Linked DNA regions of Neodiprion lecontei. The protein of the gene in region 2 binds, or shares a complex with, the protein of the main gene of each other region. Links are inferred from orthologs where the notes say so. Each region holds a gene or a part of one and is shown on either strand. Other genes may lie near its edges.

Region 1 (3,048 bases), on a different chromosome or scaffold from region 2:
AAGAAATATATCGTATGCTGACGGTTAACTTTAACAGACATTATCTACAAAATCGGGCACCCTATGGACTCTACTTTCATGCAGCTTGGTTCAAGAACCCAGCATACCACTACGCGTTCTCGGTAATAGTCAACTTTTGTCATCTCGTCGTTAAGAATCGTCACAAAATTAGTAAAGTCCTTCAATTTACAAGCATGTTATGTATTGATTATTATTCTGTATTCCAGAAATTCATTGACGACACTCTGCAGCTTCCAGACGTTTACTTTGTAACTAGTAATCAAATGGTTGAATGGATGCGAAATCCAACGCCGTTAAACAAGCTAAAGAATTTTCAGCCATGGAACTGCAACAAGCGGCAATTCGAGCCCCGGGAAATTGCCTGCGCCTTGCCGAACACGTGCAAGTTGTACAGTAGTGTCTTAAAGTCTGATAGATATTTGTACACGTGTTACGAATGTCCGAAACAATATCCCTGGTTAAGAAATGAGTTTGGATTGAACTAAGGTAACGGTTTTTCTTCTTGCGTTGTATTTTACTTACTTCTCTTCTTTCTCACAAATCAATTGAGGGTGAAATTAGATCAATAAGAATATCACGCAATATGCCATAATTTTAAGAACTTACGTAGTTACATCTAGAGTGTGTAATTACCACAGAGATTTGCTTGTAATTTGTTCGAATATGACTGAGTACCTTAATTAGTTGTAAGTAGGATATTTATTTGTACGAAGAACGTATTATATGTGTATCTACCATGAGAAGAAAACCACAAATGATATTTATTATCTAGTAGTGGAACGTAAAAATAAATCGATCATCGTGTGGTTAGGATAGATGTTCGAGTTTTACCAATCCATAGTCATTTGAAACAAATCATAAACCGATGGTCGATGGATGTGCACACATGGCGTGTCAGGTCTGTTTTTTTCTTCAAGCTTATGTGATTCGAAAAGGTTGTAGATAAAAATTTGTGTAATATAAACCGTTAACCATCTTGCTGAATGAATGGGTTCTGTATCGATTCCATTCCATCGACTGGACATATTAGAACAACCGACGTTCCTCGGCATACAACTAACCCCAGCATCCTTGTATCCTGATTCAATTTGTAGGGATCATCTGGATCTGAAAACGGCACAATCATCCACAATGTTACTCATTTGTTATTACTCTGAAAATTGAGTGATTTCAAACCAATTATCAAAGCGGTAATATCAATAATTTGACTTATAAGGACAGACGGTAACTGATTAATTGACTACGATGTACCTCTAAGATATTCAGTCGTGTTGTCTAAAACAAGATTCAGGAGCGGATCATATCCTTTTAGAATTCCTGCAGCTTCCCTGCCTCCGGCAAACTTTACCCTTATGTTCTTCTCAAGGTATTTGGAGAGATCCAATATACTTTCCTTCCTTTTCTTCTCCTTGTGATCAGTGTGAGCATTTTGGTTCTAAAAACATTATTCAAGTTATTATAACAGTTAAGTTTATGGACTTTGACGATTTTTGAAGGTTATGTTGCTGAAACATAACCTTGATTTACCTTATTAGCAGTCTGTAAAATAGAAATTTATGGAATGACAATTAACTTTCATATTTATAGGTAATAGTACCGAGTATTATAATCATGATGTATGTCTTGATAAACTTACAGACATGTTTTACTTCTCAGGTTATTCCAAGTAGTAAAAAAACAAGTGACCGCCGGTTAATAATACGAATGATTACTGTGAATTCCGCGTTCGTAAAATAAGGAAAAAAGCCATCGACCATAAACCGAAGACGTACCGACACATGTAGATGGTCAACTTTATGGAAATGATCTTCTGACGTGGAATTTAGTGGGAAGTATGATTTTGATTACGTGGAAAGTAGAAAATAGAACGAATTAAGTGAGCAAAGACGTTGCGGATTTGTGAGATGAAATTTTTTTGGCCGTAAAAAAGAAAGGCTAACTTTTTAACCTTTTGAATTTCATTGGTATAAAATTTGTCATCTCTGAACGGAAATTTTTTTACGTGTCTCTTCAGCTGTTGATCTCACAAGGTTTTGAAAGCCTTATATGACTTCTGTGGGGTCTAATTAGCCTAGTAAGGATCGCACAAATCGATGCTGAGATAAAAAAAATTTTTGTTTCAAATATCGCAAAAAATGTAAATTCTTTTAACTTTTCAGGTCATATTTGGCAAATTTTAGTGAATGCTGAAATCGATTAATTCATACCCAATATCAACGTAATTTTGAGAGAGGAATTCATTACGGCTGGCAAACCGAGTTGCAAAGAGGTGGAAGAGAAAAATAACAAATTCATAGCTACCAAGTTCCAGTTCCAGTTTATTCAATGTACCTTAGTTCTATTACAAGTGTTCAGGTGTCAGTGTATACTAATTTACCAAATTTCCAAATAGTATAGTTCTAATATGTTGCACTAATGCATTATAGTATTCATGATATAATATATCAATAATTCCTATAATAATACATTCACTGGTATAATTAGGATAATATTTCCAACGTTATTGGTGTTCAAGATAAAAAGTTGCAGAACAATGAACTAACATGACACAAGGAGTCTAAATACAGCATAGGGAAAAAATACTACGATATATATTGCATTAAGCTGAATATAAACAATGTTGTACAAAATAATTATTAATGCAGTTTCTAAGTGCGGTTTCAATTTCAGCCTTAGTACAGGTGCAATTCACCGTCGCAGAAAACGAGACGTGTAATAGAATACAATAGATACAATAGATTGGAATGTTACGATTTTACATAACCTGGAATAAAATAAATAACACCTAGATAATTTCTCCCTACTTTCTTCATACTATCTTTACTGTTGGTACCACGCTCTTTTTGGTGCGTTTTCTGAGTTCCTGGTGGTCCAATTAGTCATAAAAGCGTCATACAAATCGAATCTGAGACCAAAAGTTTTTTGCCCAAAAAAAAAGTAAGGCTAACCCCTTTGTGTTTTTGGCTAAAATTTTCGCGATTTTGAAAAGTGCTGGAATCAATTCTTTGGCGCCCTATATCGACGTAA
Region 2 (3,103 bases):
ATAATCCTTCGCGTCCCATTTCTGAAGTCATAATAAACCAAATTAAATAACTTCAATTGATAGCAGACATAAAGATTTTAAATTTCATGGAATACGAATCAAGGTTTACGTCAACGCACCCAATTAAAAGTGCGGTAACAGTTCATTAAACAGAGAAAACCAAAGAAGATGAACATAACCTCACATTTACGTAACAGGATAAGTCGTAATTATTATTCACCTGGCCAGTATGCGTTTCTTTTTCGACGGGCTCCCAAGAAGCTTTGTTACGTATTCCGGTTGTGAAAGCCGGGACGTTTATTTTGCAAACTTTCGTTTGATTCCCAAGCAGACAGACAACTTTCTTGCACGCCATATTCACAACTACTGATCGGCTAATCTGTCTGAAGTTGCAGTGAGATAACAGCTGACTCACGGCTCTCGCTGCGCGACAGTTTCATAAACCTGTTCAAATGAGTACTCACCGTAGTATCTCAACGTGTTTCCCCGACCCGTGCACAAGTATCACAAGTGTTCAAGATACGAGAAAAGTATACCAATTATACGTTTCTTAATCCCTAATTTTTTGCTCTATTGAAAATAAAAATAGCAAGTTAAGCGATGAAGATAGTCGATTATTTCACAGATCGTTGTGATGTTCTCTCCGTATATTTTGCAAGTCTCATGCATGATGTTGATCAACTCAAAGTACTACAGCAATCAAACCATAACAGTTTTTTATAGAAATGATTATTATAATCCAATGGTGTAGTTAGATTCAAATACATAGATACGTATATGATGAATATCTCCGTGACATGCTACAATTAAAACATAACATTTCTTTACAAGTTAGAAAACCTGTATAACCTAGGGTAATTTCATAGTACAAACACTTATTAAATAAATATTTATTTGGTTCTTGGTTTGTTTTGGGGTTTGTTGCCACCTTGATTACCACCTCGACCTAAAGGCGCAGGGCCTCTTCCCCCACGTCCTCCGAAAGTGCCTGAAAGAACATAAGCATAAACTATGAAATCTCAAAATTCCTTTAATTGCTTCATTTAATGTGATTTTGACTATCGAATACCTCTGCCACCACCTCCACCTCCACCTCCGCCTCCGCCTCGACCGCCTCGTTGATTTTGACCGCCACGTCCTTTCATTTCACCTCGTCCCCTCGATTTCATTTGAACGTCTTCTTTAACCATGTCTATAACTTCATCTGGAATTCTAAGATACTTAATGGTACTACCACGAATGTAGCATTCTGGCATCCTCCAAAATTTGTCACCATCCTGTATTGACAATTTGTTATGATGATTAGCAATGATAGTATAGAATAAACTCAATAATTTACAGCAATTTTTATAAACACATTGCAATGAAAGTAGACTTTCCAAGGATGGTTAAACTGGAATGGAACTTTCAGCCTTACAGTACTGCACACATTATTTAACGAGTTTTTGGACGAGGTTACATTCAATGCTGTGCCCGTAGTAAATGTAAGCAAGCTAATTGAACGCCAACTGAGATTACCCTGGATGTGCAGATGACTTCTCTGAGATTAATGTTCATCCAATTATCACAGCTAACCAAGTGTCCATTGTATGTTTCCCCATTTTTGAGTTCGACGAGCTGAAATAAAAAATACCAAACTACAATTGGCAATAAGTAATGAAACGACTAGAATTTTGAGGTTAAGATTTACCATAGGATGATTTTGTGCTGTTCTCAACAATGAAAGCGGTAGCTGGAAAATGAAAGAACATTATTATTTGAATTTATTAAACCATCTACTGATCATAATTTTAGCATGATCAAACTTTACCATTTTTAAAACCTTCCCGCACGATTTGTTACGTGTGAAGTTTTAAACACTTTCAATTTCGACTAATGAAGTAATAAGTCAACATCACAATTCACAGCTGATATCGACCATATCGACTACATCGCCTATCGACTAGCGAGCTTCGATGCAAAAGTTTTTTACACTGTTTTTTTTACCGTCATATAATGCATATAAATTACCAAATGCGACTCGCGAGAGAAAGAAGTTAGGCTTAATGAAATCGATGCCAGAGTGCAGCACTCTTCAGATTACTGCACGGAGGGAATATGCTGAGGATTTAAAACTAACTAATTTTGATTCATATGAGAGGTAATTACAAAACATGAAATGAAAAGCTAATTTATTAAAAATGAAGAATTTACGTCTTCACACTGACTTGGCTCACGGATGACCATTTCAAAAATCTTGATTCTTGGCGCTGCCGACGGCTGACCATATTTTCGTTCAAACTTAGCCAACTTCTCTAAACTCCCGCGTTGGTGGTGCGAGCGCCACACGAACGCTACATTACTAGGCAGAGGATGCAGAAAATGCTTCTCTTCCGTATATTTTTCGGACACTCCTATGAAGCAATATGAAAGCTCGACTCACCGGCGAGATTTGAACGATGTTACTCCACTTTTTTTTAACTGAATTCTGACCCACCCAATCTCAGAATATGATTTGACTCATACGAATTCCAACATTACTCATACAGTTGGCTGAAGAATTTTGCATAGGGCCCGTAGAGAAATTACAACGAATAGCTTTATTTTGATACTATACGATTGGCGATTTATTGAGTAATATATATTTCTGTGTCAACATATATACATATACATATGTACATATACACGCGAAAAAACACACTGAGTCCTTAAACTATAAGTGTACATACAATACGTAAAGTTTGTATATACTTCGCTTATATACTCCAAGTAAGACTATTCAGTGTAATTTCATTGTTACTTAACAATATTGACTGCTTGGGTTGGTAACTATTCTATATTATACGTGTATTCGCAAGATCTTATCATACGTAATGTTTATATAGAGGTATAGATTATATTGTATGTAAATGTGTGTGTGTATATGTATGTATATTTTATATATATATTTAAAAGTTTGTTTCTACGAGCAGGGTGTTTATAATCCATCAACAAATGTGTATTACATACGAATATAGGTATATGTATACATGAATAATGAATTAGATCAACCGCGTACCTGCACGAGTAGGACTGTAAAATGTGTCAAGATTGGTCCGGAAAGTTTATGGGGAGGTGATCCTTC
Region 3 (2,581 bases), about 29 Mb from region 2:
CAAAATTAGCAGATTTTGGTAGCTCCGTTCTTTTGGGGGAAGAAGACACATATACAGGAATTCGAGTAGGTTTTTTAGTTTTGCATCACGATTTCATTCCCTAAATCACCAGGTTTATGCCATATTTTCAGGGTACACCTGGTTATGTAGCCCCAGAAGTAATCAGAGGGGAATTACCCTCTCCACCTTCAGACATATATTCCCTGGGAATTTTGGCCTGGCAAATGCTAAGCAGGACTTTGCCATTCGCTGACCTCCATCCTCACGCTATTTTGTATCTCACTGGGAAAGGTATAAAACCGGAGGATTCAATGCTGGATGATAATTTAGGTGGCAAGTATAAAGCGTTGTATTCAAAGATGTGGTCATTTGAAAAAACAGATAGACCCAGTATAGATGGAGTTGCAACGGAGCTTCAAGATTTAGAGGTCGAAGCAAAGTGTTGAAGTTAATTAGAAATGGCAAAGGCTCAATGATGATACGGGATAAAAGGAAGACAATGCAGAAATGTTTACAAAAGAAAATCATTGTTATTTGAATAAATTTTTACAATCACATAGCAGTAAATGTCAAAAGTATTATACATGAAATCACAGGGGATGAGATTATGTTTCTGGCATATCACCTCCAGGTACTAACTGAAACAGGAAAGAAAAAATGATAGTCAAACTGTTGCAATAAACCTTGTTGTGCATTTTAAACACATCATGCTATCGAAATGTATTTGTATTTCCATATTAACCATCGTAATGTTATTTCCATTGAGGAGGATCTGATCCAATTTTGTAACTCTGCGTCCCTCGGGTGTTGCTTCGCTTTCAGTCACATCATCCAATAACATATTCACAAAGTCATCAAATCCTTGTAATGTACCCACAATTTCTTTATCATTTTTCATGATAATGTGAATGCGGGAGCCGATGCACTTGTCCACCAATTCTGTAAAGTAAAATTCAATGAAATAAAACATCAGTTAATAGAGAAAATTAAGATGATCGATAATGAGCAAGGTTGCAGAAAATACGAGAATGTAAAAGACACGTGGACTACCCCGAACTAATGGCATATATTTTAAAACGTATTTTAAAAATACACAAAAAATAAATAATAAACAACGTCGTTCTGTCGTTAGATCATAGAGGTTAGGAAAAATTTCGTTATTATTTTATTTATTTACCTAGCGGCAAAAGCGTGGATGGATTCGTAGTCACAGAGCTAGTCATTTTGGGAACAGAATAGTCTCGTCAATCGGTATTAATATACCCTCACTTTTTAACCAACTAACAATCAACTAATTAAGCGGGACGGCAATCCGGACGTCCTGTAAAATGACTACGCGTCGTTGGATTCGAAACACCGGTAGTTGCGCGCACATTGCCGTTGCCGTCGTGCTTATATCGCATGGAGGTGGCTTCCCAGTAAAAGGCAATTGCCGTACACTCTGTCTCTCTCGCTCTGCGCTGCGATTGGCCGAACGCGCATATCTCGTAATGCTCAGCCAATCAGAGTGTAGAGAAAGAGAGACAGAGTATACTGGCATTGCCCTTTGGCCGTTGCCCATTTGGCGCATATTATTCAGTGATGATTCGATGTCGACAGCAGCGCCGCCGCGACGGTCGACGGGAGAAGCAGAAGGTATCAGCGGCGAGGTTCAGCAGCAATGTAGAATTTGTAGCCGAACATGGCAGAAGTATAACTCTTTCGTTATTTGTGTGATTTTGTAAATGTGCCAATGTGCGAGCAATATGAGTTACGTTAAAAGTTATTTTCCAATTAGACATGACAATTGTATTAAGTTAGTGATTCAAAGTGATTTCCCGGAGTTAACTGTACCGAGGTAAGAGATATCACAATATTCATTTTAATTGTTGTGTCCGATGGGGTGGATTTGACAAGCTCTCTACTATCCGTAGATACATAGCTATTAATACATATATATCTACATGCAACTTCTAGTATCTAATTATAATATCGTTGTAATGAAACAACAACGGTTATGTATAATACGCACGTCGCTTTGTTAGATGTATCATCAAACAATGTCAAAGGGGACGTTTTGTTCACGCTGTATATACCTACTTCAGAGGCTGTCTACCCAGCTCCCTGACCACGCGATTTTTTTTTTCTTTTTCTCTCTTTCTCGCTAACGTACAGACTTCCCGATTGATTTGCCCCGTGAACACTCACCGAATGGACTTGGTATCTGGATACCTAGTCACTCTTCCATCCTAATTTACACATGGTATATTATCCGTTGAAAATGATGAAAAAATGATAACAAAAACACCCCGTCTTCTGTTATGATACCATCGAAATGTTCTATTCTATCACCTCATATTCCGGTTGCCGCACAATTTTCGCCTCTACAAATTTATTACGCACATATATACGTGCGTGTATGCATGCGTACGAACACGCCAAATACATATTCCATTTTGCATTCAACGTTCGTATTATTATTCTTATTCTATCTTCGGACCAAATTTGACTACTTGTCCTCGCAATTCGTCGCACGCTGCTCGCGAATTGCTAATTTAAATAATTCCATTCAACAGGTGTAAATTTCACGATTTATTTAATC

The links. Proteins that work in one complex are often made in the same cells at the same time.
Region 1: U6 snRNA-associated Sm-like protein LSm4 (region 2) and U6 snRNA-associated Sm-like protein LSm7 share a complex: the UniProt entries of both Homo sapiens proteins name them as parts of the precatalytic spliceosome. The link is inferred for Neodiprion lecontei from reciprocal best matches to the Homo sapiens genes LSM4 and LSM7.
Region 3: U6 snRNA-associated Sm-like protein LSm4 (region 2) and U6 snRNA-associated Sm-like protein LSm5 share a complex: the UniProt entries of both Homo sapiens proteins name them as parts of the precatalytic spliceosome. The link is inferred for Neodiprion lecontei from reciprocal best matches to the Homo sapiens genes LSM4 and LSM5.

Annotation. Positions count from the first base shown.
Region 1 is NC_060260.1:39,228,907-39,231,954, forward strand, and holds U6 snRNA-associated Sm-like protein LSm7, read right to left. Parts: upstream 1,740-3,048; 5' UTR 1,664-1,739; coding exon 1,658-1,663; intron 1,561-1,657; coding exon 1,549-1,560; intron 1,457-1,548; coding exon 1,273-1,456; intron 1,129-1,272; coding exon 989-1,128; 3' UTR 509-988; downstream 1-508. Other genes in the region: chitin deacetylase 1, read left to right, coding at 1-122, 228-506. UniProt on the Homo sapiens protein: Plays a role in pre-mRNA splicing as component of the U4/U6-U5 tri-snRNP complex that is involved in spliceosome assembly, and as component of the precatalytic spliceosome (spliceosome B complex).
Region 2 is NC_060261.1:34,776,112-34,779,214, forward strand, and holds U6 snRNA-associated Sm-like protein LSm4, read right to left. Parts: upstream 2,013-3,103; 5' UTR 1,814-2,012; coding exon 1,811-1,813; intron 1,733-1,810; coding exon 1,691-1,732; intron 1,618-1,690; coding exon 1,519-1,617; intron 1,278-1,518; coding exon 1,070-1,277; intron 989-1,069; coding exon 891-988; 3' UTR 633-890; downstream 1-632. Other genes in the region: NADH dehydrogenase [ubiquinone] iron-sulfur protein 6, mitochondrial, read right to left, coding at 1-21, 221-355. UniProt on the Homo sapiens protein: Plays a role in pre-mRNA splicing as component of the U4/U6-U5 tri-snRNP complex that is involved in spliceosome assembly, and as component of the precatalytic spliceosome (spliceosome B complex).
Region 3 is NC_060261.1:5,614,557-5,617,137, reverse strand, and holds U6 snRNA-associated Sm-like protein LSm5, read right to left. Parts: upstream 1,403-2,581; 5' UTR 1,224-1,402; coding exon 1,178-1,223; intron 940-1,177; coding exon 743-939; intron 639-742; coding exon 606-638; 3' UTR 509-605; downstream 1-508. Other genes in the region: serine/threonine-protein kinase mos, read left to right, coding at 1-65, 132-446. UniProt on the Homo sapiens protein: Plays a role in pre-mRNA splicing as component of the U4/U6-U5 tri-snRNP complex that is involved in spliceosome assembly, and as component of the precatalytic spliceosome (spliceosome B complex).